Alligator mississippiensis: one gene and its partners. The protein of the gene in region 2 interacts with the protein of the main gene of each other region in a biochemical or structural test. Links are inferred from orthologs where the notes say so. Each region holds a gene or a part of one and is shown on either strand. Other genes may lie near its edges.

Region 1 (7,870 bases), on a different chromosome or scaffold from region 2:
CAGCACCGGTCCAGCCCCACCGGGCTCAGGACCTGTGTGGGGATGACCCAGCGTGCCGGACACGATGACTGGCCATGCCAACCTGACTGGCGCTGCATGCGGTGCTGCACAGCTGGGCCTCGCCACACCATCCCGTCGCTGCCCGGGGCCGGTGCCAGCATCCATCTGCGGAGCCCGGGCAGACCCTCACTGAGATGTGCCCGCAGGCAGCAGCTGGGGACACGCTGGGGCCACAGCCCCACGCGCTGCCAGGCGGGAGCAGGGCAGGGGCAGGCTTGTGCCCATCCTGGCAGGGGCTCGGGTCGGCCAGGGGCCGTTCTCTGCCTGCCCTGACCAAGCGCAACCCAGCCGTGGTCCTGATCCAGAGGCTGCACTCGCCTCTGGCCTGTCTCCCTCCCTCCACTCCTGCTCCCATGTACCCGGCAGTGTCTGCAGCAACCCTGACTCCTTTCCAGAGGCACCGCTTGCCTGGGTGCAACCCCCAGCGCACACATGTGCACACTTATGTGTGTGTGCACACGAGGCAGGCCCAGCCAGCAGCCTGGGCCCTGGAGGAGGTATCTCTGGGCCCCAATGCCCCTCATGCTCGTTGCTCTGCCCACCTCCGCGGGCTGCTGTGGTGAGGACAGATCAGATCCTCGCTGGACAACACCAGCAGGAGCGCGTCCGTGGCATGGGACTCTCGCCGGCCAGCAAAGGCAGGCGGCGGGGCCCTCAGGTTGGGGGCCAGCTCCAGCGGTGGCTTTGCCCTGCCTTGGCCTCCGGGCACTGGCACAGCCCTCCCCACGTTGCCGTCAGGACGCCACGGACCCGCCCCTGTAGATTCAGCGCAAAACCTGGGGCCTGGCATGTGGCAGGTGGGCAGACCTGTCCCAGGGGCCCCCACCCCATCCCCCTGGAGCACCTGCTCTCCATGGCAGACCCCAGCCCGGGCTCAGCATCCGGCCATGGTCCCAGAGGTGAGGGGGGCTGGCCAGTACCCTCTGGCTTGGGCCTCCCAGGGAGGTGTTCATCGCCTGGTCACACCGTGGCTGCCATCCCCATGCCCCTCCCAAAGCTACTGCAGCACCCCCCTGCAGTGACCAGGATCACCCCATCTCTGGTGAGCAGCCCCCCACGTCTGCAGCGTGGCCGTCATCACCCCCCACAGCTGCAGCGCACCACCGCCCCCTGCTGAGCGCTGTGGGGACCAGGACCTGGGGCTGATGGTGCCATGGGACCCCGCTGCACCCACAGCTCTCGGGGGCCTGTGCTTGAGGGCGGCTTCCCCTCTCCAGTGAGGCCTGCCCTGGCCAGGCTCTCACCAGGCAGGACACCTGCCCCCCGCCCTGGGGGCTCCCGGCCCATCGAACCCCTCCGCAGCCCACCCTGATGTTGTGGGCCTCAGCCTCAACTCCATCAGCTCCCTTATGCTCCTGCTCCCATTGCCTCCTGCGCTCTCCACGGTGCCACGTGGTGGTGCCAACAGCCATCAGCCATGTGCCCCACCAGGGGTGGCTCCCGGCACGGCCTGTGTGGCACAGCGTGGCCCCTCCTGCTCCCTGCTGTCCCAGCACCAGAGACCCAGCAGGCTGAGCGACTAGTGACTCCACCGTGGCCATTCCTGTGTCCAGGGCCCAGCCCCGGGTGCTGGCACCAGGACTGCATGCTCCGGCAGAGGCCACGTCTGGCTGGGAACGTGGGCCAGCGACGAGGTTGGAGCCCTGAGTGTGGAGGCAGCATCTCACAGGTTTCCATGTTGGCGTGCTGCAGGGTCCAGGCCCAGTGGGGCTCCCAGCTCCACCACCCATGCTCACCCCGGGAAACCCTAGACCCTTGGCACCACCCGAGCCAGTGAAGGCACCATGGTGGGATGCTTCACTTCCGACATACGACTGAGCTGGATGCACACCTGGCCATCTGGCCCCCAAACTGCTCTGCCCCTCAGCCCACACTGTAAGGGACCCCCTTGGTTCTCCTGGGCCCAGGCCGGTGCCTTGCCCACACCCACGCAGCTGGGGGGAGCTGGGCACGGCTGCCCAGAGAGAGAGGATGTAGCGGGGGAACCAGGGAGGATTTGGAACGGAGCGCTGTGCCCTTTCGCCCAGTGCCACGCTTGTGGTGGCGAACCCCGGAGGGAGGGAGGGTGAATGGACACACGCAGCAACAGGTAGCTCGAGCACCCGTCAGAGCTGCACGGGAGATGGCATCTGCTGCTGCCGCTGCGCAGGCTCCTGCGGCCTCTCGACGGAGCGCACGGACCAGGGCCTCCACGCCGGCGCGCAGGGACTTGCCATTGGAAGAGAAGCTTTCTCTGCTCCATGGACCACGGTCTCCCATAGAAGCCTGCGAAGCGAGACAGAGGACAGGAGTTGGACGCGGGCACATGCAAGCCCCGCACACAGCTCCCCTGCCCGCGGCTGCTGTCCCGGCGCTGCCCCTCCCATGGCCGCAGGCTGTGCCGGAAGCCATCTGGTGAGGCACGTGGCTGGCGGCCGAGGGCACCACCACGTGGCACTGAGGAGCCCCGGGCATGGACACACGTGGCACCAGGACTGCTTTAAACCCAAAGTGGACAAGCCTGTTAATCTGGTTTAAATCCACCTGGAATGGTTCAAAAGCATGCCTGGAAAACCGAATGCTCTTCTGAACGGGTTCACTGCCAACTGGGTCCACGTGATGTGTGGACATCAGGTGTCACAGGACGTGGGTCCAGTCCGTCCTACAGGCATCCCATGTTGCATTGCTCCTCACTCCCACACACACACAGGTGCAACAGGCCACTGGTACACAGCAGAGCTCTGCGCCTGCCTCTCTGCTGCCCTTTAGTGGCACTTTGTGTGAATACGCTGCCTGGCCAAGCGACGCTCTTCCCAGCACCCAGCGGCATCCGCCCCCCGCGCATGCAGCCCCTTGCCCTGCGCCCACCAGGCCCCGGGAACCCCGGCACTGGGTCGGACACCACCCCTGCCCACCTCTTCAGGGGAGAAGGGGAAGCAAAGGGACAAGGCCCCGGGCCCAGCCCCGGTGTCAGCCACTGTCCCGTGTGCACCTGAAACCTGGCCCCTGCCGTGGCGTTAGGCAGGGACGGGTGCAGGGCTGCACCTTCGTTTCCTGCTCCACCCCCAGTGGAAACCCAGCCCGGGCTGAGACTTCACAGCTCACCATCATCTCCCTGCTAAACCCTTCGCCCCCCGGGTGCTAACCACCCTGTCTCCTTTCTAGCAGCCCTGGCGCCCCAGCAGCATAGTCTCTGCCGTTCCTGTGCGCAGCCCCGCCACTCTTTCTCACTCGCTCCAGCAAAGTCCTATTTGGTTTGGCTTTGCTCTCAAGCTGGATCGCGCAGCGCTGGGCCCGGCACGACAGCAAAGCGCTCTTGGTTAATGAGAAAGGCACGCGGCTCTGTGCAATGATGCATCTCGCACCCCCCACCCCACCTGCCAGGGGCTCGCGCCCCGTGCTCCCGGCGGGTGCTCTGGGGCACCGGGGACGGTGTCACGTAGGAGGGCGGGCTCCATGCCCAGGCAGACACGCGGGGGCGGCTGGGGTGTCGGCAGAGCGTGGCGCGGCTCTCCCGGGCTCCCTGCCAGCCTGTTTCGGAGGAGCTGGGTCTCCATGGCGACGGCTCCTTTCCTCCGGGAGCCTCCACCGGCCCCGAGCGCACCCGGGCCGCGGCCGCGGCCGCCCTGGACGCCGGGGCCGCCTCTCTGCTCCGCACGGGCGTGCACGTGGCTCACACTGACCCGGCGCCGCGAGGGCTCGGAGCCGGCCGCCACCGCTGACACCTGGCACGGCCGACGCCCCCCGCCCTGCGTCCTCCGGGGTGCTGTCAGCCCCTGCGCAGCCGTCCAAGGTCCGGCGCGGCTGGGCGCACGAGCCCCGGGCCCTCACCGGCGGTGGCAGGGGCTTGGGCCCAGGCCAGGCGCACAGCGGGGAAGGACGCGTGGGGCTCTCCAAGCCTGGATGGTCCCAGGCACCTTGCAACCATGCACCTGCACCAGCTGCCCTGGAGCCACGGGCCCGAGGAGAAGCCCCGGAGATCGCTCGCCCCCTTCCCGGACCGGGCCCTGCAGAGGCCTGCGTGTCCGCGCCCCCCCCCGCCCCGCCCCGCCCCGCCCACACGCGGCTTCTCCGGCCCCGCGCGGCTCCTGGGGCTGGTGCCCGGCCCGGCCCGGCCCGGCCCGAGACCTGCGCCCCGCAGCGCCCGTGCCACCGGGCCCAGGCCCTGCCGGGGGAGTCCGTGTCCCTCGCTCTCTGCGGCGGGATGGTCCGCGGCGGAGCCGGCGCTCTGCCAGAGTTTCCCCGGCCCGGCCCGGCCCGGCCCGGCCCCACGCGCCTTCCCGCCGCGGGGTCACGCAAGCCAGCGCCGGTTTGTCTGCGCGCCCGGCCCCGCGCCCGGCTCCAGCACACGCAGACACAGACGCCCCCGACACGGCGCCCGGCATCGCTCCGGGGTGCGGGGGCCGCGGCCGCCAGCGTCCTGCTGCTGCCGGGGGGGGGGGGGCTGCAGCGGGCCGGGCTGGGCCGGGGGGAGGGGAACCCCCCGTGCGCACCGGTCTGAGCAGCGGGATCCCCGCGTGCCTGCCTGCCCCAGCGCGGCGCGGCGGCGGCCCCCCCGGCCCGGCCCGGCTCGGCTCGGCCCGGCCTACCTTCCACCACCCCGCACAGCGGGCCCGGCCGCGCCGACATCCCCGCGCCGCGCCCGGCTGCGGGACCGGGACCGGGACCGGGACCGGGACCCGCCCGGGGGGGCGTGTGCGTGTGCAGCCCCCGTGGGAGCCCGGCGCAACAGGGCGGGCGTGGCCGTGCGCGTGTGCACGCCCCTCGCACGCGCGCGAGCCCAGGCCCCGCCCCCGACCGCCCCGCCCCGCCCCGTCCCGCCCAGGCCCCGCCCCGCCCCGAGGCGCGGCCCGGGAGCAGGAAGCGCGGCGCGGCGGCGGCGGCGGCGGCGTTGGGATGGACCCCCCGGCCAAGGAGGGGCAGCTCTACGTGCAGCACAGCCTCAAGTTCGGGGCCAAGGTCAGCGCCCCCCCCACACCCCCCGGGGTCGCGCCCGCGCCCGGCCCCGCCCCCCCACCGGACCGGGACCGGGGCCGGGGCCGGGGCCGGAGCCGGGGCCGGGGCCGGGCGCCCTCCTCCCGCCGCCCCCTTCCCGCCCGCGCTGGGCCGGGGGCTCCGCCACGTGTCCCGGGTGGGCCCCCCCCTGGCTTGGGGAAGCGGGTCCGGGCCGAGCGGAAGAGCCGTTTCCTCTTCCCGGCGCGGGCGGGGGGAGGCCGTGCGGGTCCCGGTGCAGGGTCCGGGTCTGAGCCTGAGCCTTGCGGTGTCGCGTGGCACAGCGCTGGAAGAAGAGCTGGTTCGTGCTGTACCCGGCCAGCCAGCACGGCGTGGCGCGCCTCGAGTTCTTCGACTGCAAGGACCCGGCGGCGCCGAGCGAGAAGCCGGGCACCAAGCGGCTGGACAAGAAGATCGTGCGTCTGGCCGACTGCGTGAGCGTGGCGCCCGCCAGCGAGAGCGGCCCCAAGGATGGCACGGCCACCTTCTGCCTGGAGACCAGCGACCGCAGCTACCTCTTCGCCGCCCAGAAGCAGCAGAGCGCCGAGTGGGTGGGGAAGCTGTGCGAGATCGCCTTCGGGGTGAGCACGGGGGGTGCCGGGCCCACGGCCACGTGGCCGCGCTGGGGCCAGCACTGCCACTGCTGCGCCCCTGCCCTTCCACGACAGCCGACCCGCCTGCCGCTGCCTGTGGCGCAGCATCATCCCACGTGGCTCCCGGCTCACGCTTTCAGTTCTGCTTGCGGTTGGTCCGGAGGCGCCCGCCCCCTCCTGCCAGGCTGGGGCATGGGGAGCGAGGAGGGCATCCCCGTCTGCCGGCAGCCCTCGCTCTGAGCTGGTCCCGGCCAGGCCCGTGGGGAGCCGGGGCCACGGCCCACCCATGCTCTCGGGGTGGGGGTGTGTGGGGGGCATGGGGAGCCCTGGAGCTGGCAGGCCCCTGGCGTCGGGTGCTGAGGTCCGTCTCGCTTGCTCGGCAGGGCAATGCGGGCGGCGAGGGCCGGCTGCCGGGCGGGCGCAGCGCGGAGGGCAGCGCCGCAGCGCCTGCCCTGGAGATGGCCGTGAATTCCATCTACTACTCACGGGACGAAGGTAGGGCTGGGCTGCTTGACAGGGTCCTGCGAGGGCAGAGCCCCCCAACCTGGGGCATCGCCCCCCGCCCTGGGCCGTGCCTGGGCTCAGGCCCCCGTGCCCGCCTCGGGGCATCCTTCGGACGCTGGCTGTGCCCCTCTGCGCAGCGCTGGGGTCGCCAGCCCTGCCAGGCCCCGTGACTGCCCCGGCTCCCCCTTTCACAGTGAACAGCTTCTGGGTGACAGTGCAGAGGACGGAGGCGGCCGAGCGCTGTGGGCTGTACGGGACCTACCAGCTGCGGGCAGAGCGCGACGGCCTGGCGCTCCGCGACCCCCAGACGAAGGAGACGCTCTACGTGTGGCCCTACCGGCTGCTCCGGAGATATGGGCGTGACAAGGTGGGTTGCGGGGCAAGGTTTGGGATACCCCGGAGTGAGAGAGGAGGTTAATAGACTGATGAACCAAGCCCACCGGGCCTGGCTACTCCTCTGCACTTGCCCCCTCAGTGTCCATCTCCTGGCCCGTGCTGCACATGCTTCCCTAACAAGGTGTTGCCAAGGCCTTGTGCCAGGGCCCCCGCCTGTCCACGTGACCCCTGCCATGTCCGCTGGCAGCGCACGGTCTCCTCACACCTGCTGCCCCCTCCATCATTCCCAGCTGTGGTGCAGCCAGACCCTGTGTGCTGCGTGGCCCTTTCCCACCCTATGGACCCTGACTGGGTGGGAGGAAGTGGTCTGGGAGGGAAGCTGTTTATAGCAGCAGCAGTGATGCAGCCTGTCTGCTTCCTCCTGCCTTGGCCGGAACCAGGCAGAGGCGGGTCTGCGCCCCGGCGAGGGGCTGGAGCAGCTGGCGGAGGGTGGGCGGGGGCCGAGCTGCCTTGCAGGCACCTGTGTGCACTCAGGCCTCTCTGTGGGTGGGCGGCTTGGTGCTGCCCCTCTGCAGGTGGCTCTGCTGGGCGCCAGGGGTCAGCCGGCAGCAGAGCGGGACTCTGACCTGAGCTGACCTGCCCGGCAGGTGATGTTCTCCTTTGAAGCTGGGCGGCGCTGCAGCTCCGGCCCCGGGAACTTCACTTTCGAGACCAAGCAGGGGAACGAGATCTTCCGTCTGGTGGAGGCGTCCATCCGGGAGCAGAAGACGCTGGCGGAGGAGCACCGGCAGAGCTGCGACTCGCTGGATGCGGACTGCCCCAGTGTCATGCAGATCCGCAGCACCCTGGCCGACTCGCTCAGCCTCGACCTCCCAGCCGAGGGCGACAGCCCTGCAGGCCCCAAGGCCGGGCTGGCTCCCCGGCTCAGCGCCGCTCCAGAGGAGAGGGACGCCCTGAGCCTGCTGAAGACCCGGAGCCTCCCGGAGCCCCCGATGCCGCAGAGCAAGCCTGCGCCTACCAGCACACCCCCGCGCTCCCCGCTGCCCAAGGTGCCCCGGCCTGTGCTGCCCTCCGAGGACATGTCCAGCCTGTACTCGGAGCCCCTGGACTCGGTGAAGGGCCCGCGGCTCTGGCTGGACCCACTGTACTCAGACCCCATTGACAGCAAACTGGGGGCTGTGGGTAGCGCGCCGGGGCCGGGGCCAGGCTCAGGGCTAGGGCCGGCCCCACGCTGCAAGGAGCACATCTATGACGAACCCGAGGGGCGGGCGCCACGACCTCTGCCCGACACCATCTGCATCTACGATGAGGCACGGCTGCTGGGCGAGGCCTGGCGCACGCAGGGCCTGGACGACCGGGATGGCTACGAGTTCCCCTACAACCCCAACTCCGACTACTCGGTGCCG
Region 2 (7,941 bases):
ATGAGAAATGTGTGGAACATGGTGAATTGCCTTTTAGCATCATTTTCATTTTCAAATGCAATGAGTGGGTTTCTTTTCCATAAGCCCACAGAAGTGCACTAATTTACTCAGAACTCACCCTGCTTTACCTGCAAACAATGTTATACTTGTCATACAGTTTTCAGAATAACAATTTACCAATACCTATGTAATGCTAGAACTTTCTCACCCTCTCCATGTGAAGTACTTTGTAGAAGTCAATGCATCATATAGGTATACCAAAATAACAGAAAGGAGATATTCAAAGCCAGATAACAAATGAAAGCTGTTTCCACAGACAACCTCTGTTGCTACAATTTTTATTGCTCAAAAGGTAACAAAAGGGTATGAAATACATCTGAATTAGAAATAATGAAAGTGTCTGAAAATCAAAATTAGGCTCAAATGAGAAAAAGAATGTTCAGTTGCATAGCAAAACTGTTTAAACATGCTTATTGAACTTCAGCAAAAGCTTCAAAACGTACATCTGACAATTTTCCTTTTCTGTCTTGCAAAACTAAGCCCCCACTACTAAACAATCACTCTACAGGGGTAGATGAGGGAATGCTTGTGTTATAACAGATGAGTAGTTTTTTCATAGTAGGTGACATCTCAGATAAGTTTCTCACAGATGAGAAGTAATGCTCAACTTCTTGGGCCCTGGGCTGCTGGTTCTAATCTTCATTAAAACTAAAAAAAGTCATCATCTGCTTCACCCTCACTATTCGCTCCCACTCTTACTGGGATCAATGTCTCTGCTTGCTTGTGCTTGTTCCCTCCTGCAGCCAACTGGCTGCCCTGTTGACTTCTGCAAATGCACAGAAAAATGCCAGCATGAACTAAGGAACTCTGAGACTTACAGTTCTTAAGAGACCATATTTCATAGGAAGGCATCCTACTCTCTCTCTCTCTCTCTCAAACAAGAAGTCCTAGAGTTTCAATAAAGAACTATCATTCCATTTAAGTCCTAGGAGTAGCTGTCAGAAAAAACTCTGGGAAAGCCAGATTTCAATTTTTTTAACTTTTAACTTATACTTTAAAAAAAGTTAAAGTTAACCTTTTTTTTAACAAGTTAAAGTTAAAAGTTGACAGCTGAAAAATTTAACTAGTTACAGTTAAAAATTAGCCATTTCTTTAATTTTTTAACTAGTTAATTAACTAGTTAATTCCCATGGCTGGAACAGATCATTAAAAAGAAAGACCAGAACTGACAACAGCAATAAATGTGATATAACATATTTTATATGGAATAGACATGCATGTTCTATACAGAAAATATTTCCTTCTTTCTACAGATTATTCAAATATAACTAAAGCATGTTGAAATGAGAACAGCAGTAGTTTTCTGTCACGTGAAATTTCAATGTGGCCATGGGGAAGGGCCATTAGAACTACTGGCCACCAATGAAAGCTCCTATAGATTTTCAAACATTCCAGACTTGCCCAGGAGTCCACCTTGTAGACTTGCTTCAGCACAGGTCTACATGCATTCATCAATGAATTTAAGCGACCGCATGAGGAACAAACTTGGGAAAGGGTAAGGAAGGAACGAACCTTCTGCAGTTGTGTCCAGGATATTCAATAAAAAGGTATTTTTGCAGATGTATGGCAGATGTCCAGAAAATATGGTTCCATTTGGTAGACTTGGTTTGCTTTTGATGATGACGACAATGATTATGTTTTCTCCCCAGGTACGAAGCTCATTTCTGTAATTATGAAAGTGTGGGTAATGGACCCTAAATGGTAGATTTCTATTGTTGGAAAATCTAACCAGAGTAGAAACATGGGGATGAAAGCACCAGCAAGGCCAAGGGGTTTAAACAAATTCTGTCCACAATATGTCCCCTTGGTACAGTGCTCATTCAGAGCAGGTTCGAGGACTGATGGAGCAACATACTGACATTAGCTCACTGTTCTACATGGGCCATACTTCTTGGTGTGGCTAATTAGCGCAGGCACCATGCTAATTCAGCCAGACCACTTCTATAGCTTTTATTGTTTGGGTATCTCTGCCAGTCTGCTGCATGGGTAGGTCAGACCTGGGAGAGTGGCATGGTTTGCCACATTAGAGAAGCACTGATTTAGCAAGCCTCACAGGAAGCCTCTTGTGGAGACCACATCAAAATTTGCATTTGCCCTCCCCATGCAAAACCCATGAGCTGTGCAGCCCTCCCCTGGACTGAATTCTCAGCACAGCACCCTTATTATGTCCCTAAGTTATCAGAAGAGGAGAATCTCAAAGAAGAGAGTCCTACAAATATTTATAGTGCATTAAAGTATCTAGGAATGACACTCCTACAAACACAACAACAGTGGATTTAAATAATTACATTTGAAAATCTGAGAGGGAAAATGAACAGTAAATAGAAACCCACAGAGAGACAATTGCAAGAAGATTATTTGAAATTACATGTACAATAATGGAACGTGTAACTATGGAAATTAGACTTGTAAAGGACTGCTACCGAGGCTGAAATTTTTTAAACACAAAAACAGCAGGACACACACGTTATAATCCTATAAATTCAGGACTGGAGCCAAATTCTGCTTTCATTTACACTGGCACAAATCCAGAGTAAATCCTGAGATTTTAATGGTGCAACAAGGAGAAGAATTTTGCTTTTGGAAGGAAAGATAAGAGAGTTCAGTGCAGCAGATAAAACGATGTTGGCTGGAGAGCTGTGGAAGGAGTATCAATTTGTTTCAGTTGCCTCAGGAGAAATTCACTTAATACTTTTGGGTAATGCAAAGCTTTGAAAACCTGAATGTTTAGATGCCTTTTAAGAACACTTGAGACACATGCAAGTGTCAAGGTGCTACTATTTGTCAGCTATTTTAATATTGCAAGTCAAAAGGTATCTACACACTATTTTGCCTGGAAATAGGTTTGTCACATTGGTCCTGATCTTGGAAGTACTTACATCTGTACACAGCTTAACTCATGAATAGTTCTACTGCATTCAATGGAATTCCTGGAGAACATAAAATTAAGTTTGGGAGTTAGTGGCTGAGGCTCAGAGCAATAAGTGAACAAAAGGATACATTTTTTTCAGACCGGTACCAAGGGAAAAGCTATTATTAATTAGGATAGTTGTGCATGCACCTCTCAGAGCACTGTGAGGACTACGATCCTGTCAGTCAAAAACCCACCACAACCTTGCTGTCGCTTTATGCATATTATGTTTACAGCAGGTATAGACCCTTTTGTGATATTTGCAGAAGAAAAAAGGAGTTGAACTTAACAAGCATTCATTTCCCCCAGGGGAGCACAGCTCCTCAACCTCAGTACTAGTTTGCTATTTGGTAGGCATGTCTACATGAGATGCTACTGTGCAGTGGTTACTGCGCATTTATTTAGTACTCATATAATCAAGTACTAAATAAGAGCATTTATACACATCCTTTTTTTCCAGTGATATGCCAGAGATCTGCTGCTTTTCCCAATGCTGACGCACATTTTGCTGCTCATACAATTGTATGCGTCACAGCGCTAGGCGCTTGCCCAGCGTTGCGATGCATGCATGCTTAAAAGTGCCCTAAATGTGCAGCAATGGGAGTTACTGTGTAGTAGTACCAGTGAACATCTGTGATGCTACTGTGCAGTAGCCTAATAATACTGCACTGTAGCATATTAGCATTGTTGGCACTGTGATGTGCTACTGTGCAGTATGATTTGACTACTGCACAGCCAGCGTCTCATGTAGCTGTGCCCACTGCCTGCCTCTACACAAGCTCTTTAGTGCAGGGTAGAGTAATTAGCTGTGGAGTAAAGCATCACCGTCTACAGGTGTGAGGGTAGCAGGCTGCAGTAAACTAATTTATGCTGTTCTAAAATAGTACTATCCAGGAATGTACTATCTTACACCAGGGTAATTCACTCTGATTAAGCACATGTAACCAGGGGCAAGAACTGCACCCTGCCAGGCCAGCTTGCTGGGGGCCAGGCTGCTGCCTGTCACCCTGCCAGAGGCTCTGCACTTCCAGCACCCCTCAGGAACCCAGAGCTGATGCCCTTCAGCACCCTGCTAGCGTGGGCCTGCTCTGCCATGCCTCAATGTGCTGCTGTCCTGGGCACACATGCAGACACTATACCCAGGAGTAGTTTACTCCAGCTCAAACTGCTCCGGAGTTTATTGCTTTGCATTAATTGCAGGTCTAGAGCACCCAGAGGGAACAGAACTACAGCCTGAAATGCAGAGGAAACAGCTGAATCCTACTAATTTGGGGCCTCAAAAAAACAACCTGGGGGCAAGCTGGATCTAGGGCAACCCAAATCCCAATTCAAAGGCACTTAAGAAACACGAGAGTCTGCCAGACCCAGTCAGAGTTTAGCCTCAGAAACCTCCCCCGCCGCCCCGCCTCTTCTCAGCCCTGCCAGGTGTGGACGCGCCCCCCAGGCCATGCTGCTGCGACGAGGGCGCAGCCCGGCCGGACACAAAGGGGCTGAGCCCGGATCCAGCCGCGCCTGGCGCGGGAGGGGACGGGGCTCGCGGCTCAGCTGTGCCGGCCCCACTCCTGGGGACTCCCCTGGCGCACTGCCCCTCTGCGGACGGGGGGAGCAGAGAGGCTCCAGGCAGAGCTGCCCCCACCCCAGCGCTGCGGGCGGCAGCGGAAGCCAGCGGCAGAGCGGGAGCCAGCGGCAGCGGCGACCGCTCGGCCTCGCCTCACGAGCCGCAGCGCATGCGCAGTCCGCCAGGGCTGCCGCCCCCTCCCCTCCCCTCCCCTCCCCCGCTGCGGTCCCGGAGCTGTGCTCGCTGCGGGCGGGCGGGGCGGGGCGGGGCCGGGCCGCTCTCTCCCGGCCGCTGGGGCAGGAGGCGGAGGCAGAGGCAGCCGCGCCGGGGCCCTGCGGAGCGGCGCTGCCCCCAGCCGGCCCGGGAAGCTGCCCCCGCCAGTCCCGGCTGCGGCTCGGCTCGGCTCGGCGCGGGGCGGGGCGGGGCGGGGCGGGGGTCGGCCCCTTTGTCACCTCCTCCCCGCGCGGCCGAGGGGGAGGGGGCGAGGCTCACCATGATGGCGGCCGAGGCTGGGGGTGAGGAGGGCGGCTCGGCTCCCGCCGCCGGGACACCCGCCGCCGCCGCCGAGCCGGGCCACTGCGCTGCCCCGTGCCGGGCCCGCCCGCCGGGCTCTCCCGCCTCCTTCCCCGCGCCCCCGGGACTTGCCCCGCCGCCGGCCGCCGGCCACGAGATGCCCAGGGCGGCGCCCCCCGCCCCGGAGACGGCAGCCGCCGGGCCGGGCTCCGGCTTCCCGCCGCTGCCACCGCCGCCGCCGCTGGGCGCCGCGGACGAGGGCGACTCGCTGGACGGGCCCGAGTACGAGGAGGAGGAGGTGGCCATCCCGCTCACCGCGCCCCCCACCAACCAGTGAGTGCCGCCCGCCCGGGGGAAGTGCGTGGCAGCGCCCGCGCCGGGTTGCAAGTTTTGCCCCCCCTCCGCGCCCGGATCCCGGGGAAATCCGCGGTCCCGGCGCCAACAATGGGCCCGCGGGGTGCGGGAGCCGGCCGCGCCCGGCCACGAGGGACGCCCGTCCCAGCCGCGGGCGGGATGAGCTCTCGGGAAGTTCCTCCTCTTCCCAGGGTTTTTGGGCCGAGCAGCTCCCTGCCTCTATGCGCCTCGGCAGAGCTGGGTGCTCCCGGGACAAAGCTCCGATGTGGCCGAATGGCTCTTTCGTGACACCCCCCCCCCCCCCTTTTTTTTTTTTCTTAAACAAAAAAGAAAATCTGCGGGTGACTTTAGTTTTCCTGAAGCAGGTGGGTGGCCTGCTGTCCTGCTTGGGGTCCCCCCCCCTGCAGCCAGTCTTCCTGGGGGCTTTAAAGGCAGGTAATAATGTGTAGCTTTTCAGCACTTGGAGGCAATTTTTTTGTAAATGAAGGCTTCTGTAGCCTGGCTGATTTGGAAGAAGTTCATATGCAGTTAGGTCATTTTTGAAAAGAACTGGGCTTCAGTAAAAAAAAAAACAACCCCAACCTCCTCCCTGCCCTCTAACCTGCCCCCCCCCTCCCAAAAACCAACCCCAAACAAGTGGTGGTTTGTAGTAGGATTTCACTATGTTTGCCTTTTCATTAGCTTACCATGGATTCCTTCAGTGCTGATGACATAAAGGACATCCCGGACAGTTGTTACAGGTGTCACTTATGTTCGATTTCCCGCTGCCTGTGTGCTTACACTTGGACATACAGTCAGAACTCGAAACGGGCACACAGGCAAAAAGCTTCTGGGTGTACTAATAACTTATCTGTAGGGCAACAGCTACCTTGGGGCACACAATGCCCTACAGAAAGACAAGTCTTTCAGGGACTGAAATAGTAAAGTTGGTATTTGGGTATATAAATGGATGCCTAAGTTAGGGTGAAGCCTCATATATCAGATGCATTAGAGGGGCAAGATGTAAAATGGGAATGCAGATTTGCAATGGCAAGTATTATTTAGATGGGTTCTGGCTGGATTTCTTATCCTGTGTGTTAATGGGATCTGGGAAGTGGTTTGGTTTCAGTGTTGTGTGTTATGTTCTCACAGTAGTTCAGTGTAAAATTCTTCTTGCATGTTTATGGGCTTTCATATTTTTAAAAGCTTTTTCCCATCCCCATTACTCCCCACTTCCCTGTCAAATGAGTGCAAAAAGGCACCCCCTTACTGATGTTGTTTTGTCTAGAAATAACATAATGTTTTCATAGCCTTAAAAAAAAATTACCTATTCATAGTCTGTTTTTCTTGCTAGCTCTGTAAGACTGTGTGTACTTTTGGGAGGGTTCGTGTCTAATGTTAATACAAAGTGGGGAAGGTGCTCCATCTCTTCAGAGGCAGCTTAAACTTTCCATGTTGCGAGTTTCTTCTTCCCAAGCTCAGGATGATAGCAGAGCTGCTGTACAAAAAAGGAGGGCAAAGATATGTTTTCACACACAGCTCTTTAACCTTTCCAGTCATCCTTGATTATGTTTTCTGTTTTTTATGACTCGATTCCTAAGAATAACGTCCTTAATGAAATAGAGACTGTTCAAATGTTTATGAAAAGCTATCCTATTCCTCAGACAGATCAAAATGTGAAGGAACAGGAGGGACAAAAAATGAGGGGAAATAGAGGCACTGGCAGGTGAGGTGACTTATGCAAGAGGACATAGCAAGTTAGTGACAGAGGTCTTGATTTCCTTTCCACAAGACCAAACTTCCTCTCTTCTGCTGCAAGAACTAAATATTGCATACTTCTCACATGGATGCCCAACAGATCTGTAACAATGGTTGATTGGGTGATTGTTTAGGTCAGTGACTACTCATGTTTCTAAATACATTTTATTGTGACTTATAAATGTGAATACTTTTTAAAATTCCGGTTGGAACACCAAATGTATATGCTAGCAGCGCAATTTTTATGCAAAGCCTTACATACTTTTAAACTACTTCAAAACAGTGAAGTGTCTGGCTTTTTATAAATGGATCTTATTGGAGGACTACAATAGCCACAATCTTGCCGTCTTTAAGCGCATACTTCAGTTGCATTCTTTTGTTAGATTACTCACATGATTAAAGCAAAGCATGTGGCCCTGATCTTTGCAGGATCAGGGCCAACATGTTGGGGTAGAAATGTTTAAGGTACTCGAAACATTTCTTTAAAGTATAAAAAAGGGATAGCTATTGAAAATGGGATAAATTTCCAGAGAGGTATTTCAGGAGTGATACCTGCCTCTGAATCTAACTTCATAATCATATTCCTGTTGTGTTTATTTTTTCCTGCTGCTGTGAGTGACTTGCAAGCTTGATTGTACAGGGGAAACCAGTGACACTGACATTTCACTAAAGAAATGGGCCAGACAAAAACTTTTTTGATTTGTTTCTGATTTTTTTTCAGTGTTTAGCTGCTTAAGTTTAACAGTAACTTTTATCCTTTCCATTTTGTTCTTTTTTTGTTTTGCAAGTGTTCTTCCCTGCAGTTTAA
Region 3 (6,955 bases), on a different chromosome or scaffold from region 2:
TATCCCGGGGAAGATCTTAGAAAAGTTTATTAAGGAGGCCATCCTTAATGGACTGGCCGACGCCAACATCTTAAGGGATAGCCAGCACGGGTTTGTTGCGGGTAGGTCTTGCTTGACCAATCTCATTTCCTTCTACGACCAGGTGACCTATCACCTGGACAAGGGAGATGAGATTGATGTCATATATCTTGACTTCAAAAAAGCCTTCGATCTGGTGTCCCATGATCGTCTCTTGGAGAAACTGGCCAATTGTCGCCTTGGGTCCCCCACGATCCACTGGCTGGAAAATTGGCTCCGGGGTCAGACCCAGAGGGTAGTAATTGATGGAAGTCACTCATCGTGGTGTCCTGTGACCAGTGGGGTCCCCCAGGGCTCTGTCCTTGGACCCATACTGTTCAACATCTTCATTAACGATGTGGACACTGGAGTCAGAAGCGGACTGGCCAAGTTCGCCGATGACACCAAACTTTGGGGCAAAGCATCCACACCAGAAGACAGGCGGGTGATCCAGGCTGACCTGGACAGGCTCAGCAAGTGGGCGGATGAGAATCTGATGGTGTTCAACGCCGATAAATGCAAGGTTCTCCACCTTGGGGAAAAAAAACCCGCAGCATCCTTATAGGCTCGGCAGTGCTATGTTGGTTAGCACTATGGAAGAAAGAGACTTGGGGGTCATCATTGACCACAAGATGAACATGAGCCTGCAATGCGATGCGGCGGCTAGTAAAGCGACCAAAACGCTGGCTTGCATCCATAGATGCTTCTCAAGCAAATCCCGGGACGTCATTCTCCCCCTGTACTCGGCCTTAGTGAGGCCACAGCTGGAGTACTGCGTCCAGTTTTGGGCTCCACAATTCAAAAAGGATGTGGAGAAGCTTGAGAGAGTCCAGAGAAGAGCCACGCGCATGATCAGGGGTCAGGGAAGCAGGCCCTACGATGACAGGCTGAGAGCCCTGGGGCTCTTTAGCCTGGAAAAGCGCAGGCTCAGGGGTGATCTGATGGCCACCTACAAGTTTATCAGGGGTGACCACCAGTATCTAGGGGAAAGTTTGTTCACCAGAGCGCCCCAAGGGATGACGAGGACGAATGGTCACAAACTACTACAAGATCGTTTCAGGCTGGACATAAGGAAGAATTTCTTTACTGTCCGAGCCCCCAAGGTCTGGAACAGCCTGCCGCCGGAGGTTGTTCAAGCGCCTTCATTGAACACCTTCAAGATGAAACTGGATGCTTATCTTGCTGGGATCCTATGACCCCAGCTGACGTCCTGCCCTTTGGGCGGGGGGCTGGACTCGATGATCTTCCGAGGTCCCTTCCAGCCCTAATGTCTATGAAATCTATCAAATCTTAATTCCACAACAAGTCACCAGAAAATAGGCTCTGTTCCCTAGGATGGACACCAGAGGAATCAGACAGATTTTAATTAGTGGTGTATAGTGGTGTAGTGAACTGCTCAAAACAATTTACTCTGATTTGTTAGTATTTGCTCTGTTTTGCTATGCTGGATTCATTTCTGATTTAGACCTAGTAGGAAAGTATAATCTATTCCAAAATGATACGGTACACTGTTCTGGTTTAGGTCCATCTAATAAGTATAGAAAGACTGGAATTGCCAATACTAGATCAGATTGGTGGTCCATCTAGCTGAGTCCCATCTCTAACAGTTGCTTGCCATCCACCTGGCAGAGAAGGCGGCTCTGGCTGGGGGGACCCCGGTGATTTGGGGGCTGTCTTCCAGTCCCTCATCTGTTCACATCTCCAGGCAAAATTATACTGGGCAGTGTCCACAGGCTCCTTGGATTCATTTCAGGGCTAGTGGATACTGTCTGGTGTGGTCCGCTTGGTGTCCCTGCTTGGAGCACTTGTTATTCACCTTTGACCCCCACTTCTGTCCCTTTTTTTCACTTTGGTTGCCCCTAGTATTCAGCTGTTGCATGCTTAATAGCTCCTTCTAACAACATGGGGGTAGCAGTTTCTGTGTGGGCTCCAGCCCATTGTTCGTTGTGCAGCAAGTAGGTCTGTCTGTATCAGTAACTGCGCACTAATTTACAAGCTCTCATATATTCTCCTTATTTCTTCACTTGTGCCCCTAGAGTCTTAACAGAGTAAAAGTCTGAGTCCCCATATGCTTGACGGTAGTCTAACACTACTGAGGAAAAGCAACAGGAATACTGTTGTGGGATGATGACTGGGTCAAAGATCAGTAACTGGACAAAACACATTTATTACTGCACTTCTAAGACAAAACCAGATACCAGCAAGTTGCAGCTAGGCATGCCTACAGGCATACATAAAACAGGCAGTAGACAACTCAAGAGGATGAAATAATCATCAGCCTGAACTGTGAACAAACTTCAATGCTATCTTAAAGTTGAGATGAGAAACACCACTTTGCTCCTTCCCAGTGTTCAATTCCTTATAGAGCTAGTTTCCATTTCTTTCCCCTCCTCCCCACAAGTCTGTAACACTTCAATGGCCCACATAGTATTATTTTTACACGCCCACAAATTCTATCCAAAATCAATGCGAGGGCATTCAGCTCTAGTTAAGATCGGGCCATAAAAGTGACGGCCGCCTTCTCAGAAATTGCCTTGTTCTTTTGATTACATCGAGCAAGCTCTGTTGCAACCAAGCCGTGCTCTGAAATGCAGAATACTGAGAGATGCCCAGCCCTGGGGCACTGACGGTTTTCATTTAGTGGTGGCAAGGGCCCAGCAAAGAGGTTGCCTGAATCATGTGATGGTGCGCAGGAGCGGTTTTCAAACTTAAATCCTGGGGGGTCTGCAGGAAGCCACCAGCGGCTTGGCAGAGAGAGTGGGGGTAATGCCAAAGTGGGCTGGGCAGCGTGCTGCCTTTGCCAAGCCAGGTCGCCTGACTCCACATCAGTCTTTAGGATAGGGACTGAAGTGATAGGAAAGGGTTCCCTGACTTGGGGAAGTTTGATAACCGTTGAAGTATCTTTTTCTTCCAAAAACAGCAACAACAAAAATCTATATAAAGAGGAAGAGAAAGAGAAGGGGGCTTTCTAGAGGGCTGGGGTTGGGGGTGAGGGGTGGAGGTGGAGAGTGTTTTCAAAGCTGCTGGCTGAGACCCTGAAACACTAGGCAAGTTTTGGGAGTTTCCAGCCGGCCCCTGTGCCCACGGGCAGAGAGAGCTGGTAACTGGTCAGGAATTGCCGAGCGGTGGGTCTCTCTCTCTCCTCCCACCTCGTGTCCAGAGCGCGCCTCAGGTTTCCCCTGTGCTGCCGGCCCCTGCCCGGGACCAAGTCCTGCTGCCTCCCAGGCTCCTGCTTCCGCTGCACTTTCCCTTTCAGTTTGCTGCTTGGAGGGAGAGTTTTATTTGGGAACAAAAAAATCCCTTTTATTTGGAAAAATACCCCGACACACACACACACACTCGCCCCCTTCCCCGCGCTGCCCCCCCACAGCCCAGAGTCACATTTCGGGGTGTTGGTCTGACCTAGTTCTTTGGGGAAATGCGCTTTATTAAACCGGCTCAAACTCAAGCTGGAGCCACGTTCGGCCTGTTGTTCTTTGGAGGGATGGGGTTAAAATGAAAAACGAAAAACAAGTCAGGCACGGGCTTCCCGCCTGAGCCCTGCGCGGAGCGGGCCCGGGGCTCGGCTCCGGGTGGGGGAAGCACAGGCCCCCTCCGCCGCCGCCGCCTCCAGCCCCGCGGGCGGCAGAGGAAGCCCGCTCGCAGCGGCGGGGGCCCCCGAAGTCGGTCAAGCGACGCGACTGCCCCCGCCGAGCCGCTGCCTCCGCCCGCCGGCCCGCCCGCCGGCCGGGGGTTGCGGTGCCCGGCGCCCGGGCGGTGACAGGTGCTCCCGGGGCGCGGGGGCGGGGCGCGCGGTGCCAATCCGAGCGGGGGAGGCGGGGCTTCGCCCCCTGCTCCAGCCCCCTCGCTCCTCTCGGTGCGTGCCTGCGCCTGTTTGGGGTGGGTGGGTTTTTTTTTTAATGTATTTTTTGGGTGGGTGTCTCGCTCCTCGGTGCGGAGCAGCCGGGCGCCGCGACTCCATGGCACTGGCGCGCCGAGAGCCTCCTGCCACCGCAGCCCCGGGCCAGGCGTGAGCGGGAGGGAGGGAGAGAGGCAGGGAGAGGGGCGCCGCCGCCCCGGAGCGGAGCGGAGCAGCCGGCAGAGGCGAAGCGGCGCAGCCGGGAGGCGATCGCGGCTCGGAAGCAACTTTTCTCCCCGGAGCCCGGCGGGGCAGCAGCGCCTCCCGCCCCGCACCAGCCCCGCGCCCCTCCGGGAGGGGAGGGGAGGGGGCGCGCACAGGGATATGCCATTTGGACCATGTAGTTGCCACCCCGGGAGCTGAGACGTCGCCCGGCCGCCGACATGAAGCTGGCCAGCGGACTCCTTTGCTGCCTCTGCTTCCTGGGGAGCTGCGGGACCCTGCAGCCCGGCGCCGCTCAGTCAGGTGGGTGGCGACGGCACTCGCGGCTCGCGCCCTCCCTCCCAGCCCCGCACCTGCCGCCGCTGCCCGCGCAACTTGCTCGGGGCGGGACGGGGGAGACGGGGGCTCTTCCTTCCCGGCCCCGTGTCTGCATTTTGGGATGCTCTGGGCCTCCCCCTCTTCCCTCGCCCGGCCCCGTCTGTGGCAGCGGCGATCGTGATCAGGCTGATGATGATGATGATGATTTTCGTGGCCGTGGAGGAGCGCTCGGCCCGCTCCGCTCCGCGGTCGCGCCGGGTCCGGGCCGCGGCGGGTGGGAGCGCCCTGTCCCACCTGCGCGCGGGGCAGCCCCGCAGCCCGGCCGGGGCCAGAGCCGGGCGGGCAGGTGCCCCCCGAGCCCGCCGGCCTTGAAGAGAAGCCCCCTCCCCACCTCCTCCCTTCTCTCCGCCCCGGCTGCCGGAGGGGCTCGCAACTAAGTTGCTCCGCGGCGGCCTCGGCCCCTCCAACTTTGCGGAGCGGGGCTGAGCGCTGCGGGCTGCAGCCACCTCCCGTTGTCGCTCTCGGGGCCGGGCCGGTGCCGAGCAGAGCTGGTGATGGAGAGCGGAGGGGAGGGGGAGGGGGGCAGGAGCCGCCAGACCTGCCCCCCCCCCCTCCCCCGGGGCTCTCCTAGCAGGCATCCGCTCCCAAGATAAGGCCGGGGGTATTTTTTTTAACCAGGGAATGAGCAACAAATGCACCGACCACCCCGGCAGGCACGGGGCTCCTTGTCTTTGCTCCCACCGCCAAGTTGGACTAGGCAGGAAAGTTGCCTCCGGCCCCTTCACCCGCCCACCTCCCTCCGCGAGGCTGGCGGCTTCATTGCTGTTAGTGTCGACATGACATTTTCCGCTTTGCTCTCCCCCAATGTGGAGCAGTGGCGCCCTCCCCATCCCAGCCGGGCTCGGGGAGGACGAGGAGGACCCGCCTCTGCCGCCGCCGGCCCGGGCCCGAGCCCGGCCCCCGGGAGCGCGGGGGCTGCGGGAGCCGCGCGCAGGTGGAGGCGGCGGAGCGGGCTGGATGCTCCGCGGAAATGAGGAGCCAGGGAAGCCCCTTCCCAGTCCCAGCGGCCTTGGAAACCTCCTCCAAGCCAGCCCCGCCGCTGGGGCAGGGGGGAGCGGGCCCCAGTGAGCACGCAGCGATCCCCCCCTCTCCCTCAGCAGCAGCTCGGAGGAGTTTTGTTCTGGTCCAAATGAGAAATGAAGTGCGGAGAAGTAAACTAAGCTGCCAGAGGGCGACAAGATGTTGAGTGAATTGCTTTTAGATGAAACAAATTAAGGAAACGAGGGGAGACAATCTGCTTCTCGCATTATTAGACACGCTCGGAGTTCAGGGGAAAGTGGCGGATTTTTGAAATGCTAATTTCTTTCCGAAGCAGAAAGGATGCACCTTATTTACTGGTCTCTGTGACCAGAATAGAAATGCTGTTGGAGACCGGGGGGGGGGGGGGGGTTATTTTTATTTATTTATTTATTTTGGTCACCTATATGGATCTTTGCTGGGGGGCAGGGGTTCCATTATATCTCTCTGCAAGGAAAGCAGGCGTCCATTTCCCTCTGAAATCACTGCTCGGCTTCCAGGTAGCCCCTTGGAAGCTTTGTAAAAGGGGATGTCCCAAGACAGCTTTCTAATATCACCAGGACCAATGCCATTTACATTTCAAATATCACGGTTTCCCAGTGGAACAGTTCCTGGGAAACAACTCTCCTTTTGCGTTTACACAGAAATAGTAGCATATCATATCATCCCTTCCTTCTGCAAAATAAAGACCCCCACCCCCTTCCCCTGTAATGTGTAGGATGGACAGAGTCAAGCCATGTAATTCATAGTCTGCAAACAACGTGGCAGGCTGTTTAACTTAGATCTATGCCTCAAGCTTTTCTTTCACATATATTCCTAGGTGTGTGCAAATATAGGCAAGTAAAAAAGTACATAGCAGAAAGACTGTTTACAGGTGAAACAGAATAAGGTAGCGGGGTTAAAAAGCAAATAATAAAATAACGTGTTTTTCACCATCAAAAGATTCTCTGCAGAGAAGGAATGCCTTGAGCCAAATCTCCTTTAGCTGTCTTCGGTGGTCCTTGAAGTGTTCGTATATTTAAGACCATTTCAAGCTGAAGAAGCCTTCAGTTGCTGATGTGGTTTCGGATTTTACCTCACTGAATAGAATAATGCTGTTTACATTTCCCAGGAAAATGTTGCATTTGTATACCAAGACAGTCATGGGAACATAATAACAGCTTGTTGGATATCTTTTCTTGTGGAGTATTGTTTTTTTGGTTAATGTTTAAAGCATTAACAACAGGATGTAAAGCAAGAAAATCTGAGAGATTTTAAATTGTGCAGGAATGATGAAGTTTGACCAATGTTGTGTGTAGGCTTTTGGGTTGGCATGCATTCCTGTTTTTATATAACTTGGTATTCAAGCTATGATGAAAAAGAATTGAAATACTTTTATCATTGTTTCAGGGGAATGCATTTTATGTTTATGCTTCCCAACAATTAAAACATGGCTTTTTCTGC

Evidence for each region. The genes of interacting proteins can lie anywhere in the genome.
Region 1: the proteins of RASA1 (region 2) and DOK1 form a complex in vitro, tested with the Homo sapiens proteins (2 studies listed by BioGRID, with this or other methods). The link is inferred for Alligator mississippiensis from reciprocal best matches to the Homo sapiens genes RASA1 and DOK1.
Region 3: the proteins of RASA1 (region 2) and ERBB4 form a complex in vitro, tested with the Homo sapiens proteins (2 studies listed by BioGRID and IntAct, with this or other methods). The link is inferred for Alligator mississippiensis from reciprocal best matches to the Homo sapiens genes RASA1 and ERBB4.

The regions. Positions count from the first base shown.
Region 1 is NC_081825.1:325,314-333,183, reverse strand, and holds the start of DOK1 (docking protein 1), read left to right. Parts: upstream 1-4,869; 5' UTR 4,870-4,935; coding exon 4,936-4,998; intron 4,999-5,315; coding exon 5,316-5,612; intron 5,613-6,007; coding exon 6,008-6,119; intron 6,120-6,322; coding exon 6,323-6,495; intron 6,496-7,111; coding exon 7,112-7,870. Other genes in the region: protein O-GlcNAcase, read right to left, coding at 603-850. UniProt on the Homo sapiens protein: DOK proteins are enzymatically inert adaptor or scaffolding proteins. They provide a docking platform for the assembly of multimolecular signaling complexes. DOK1 appears to be a negative regulator of the insulin signaling pathway.
Region 2 is NC_081826.1:245,121,781-245,129,721, reverse strand, and holds the start of RASA1 (ras GTPase-activating protein 1), read left to right. Parts: upstream 1-4,935; 5' UTR 4,936-5,022; coding exon 5,023-5,375; intron 5,376-7,941. UniProt on the Homo sapiens protein: Inhibitory regulator of the Ras-cyclic AMP pathway. Stimulates the GTPase of normal but not oncogenic Ras p21; this stimulation may be further increased in the presence of NCK1.
Region 3 is NC_081827.1:179,024,800-179,031,754, reverse strand, and holds the start of ERBB4 (receptor tyrosine-protein kinase erbB-4), read left to right. Parts: upstream 1-3,954; 5' UTR 3,955-4,338; coding exon 4,339-4,420; intron 4,421-6,955. UniProt on the Homo sapiens protein: Tyrosine-protein kinase that plays an essential role as cell surface receptor for neuregulins and EGF family members and regulates development of the heart, the central nervous system and the mammary gland, gene transcription, cell proliferation, differentiation, migration and apoptosis.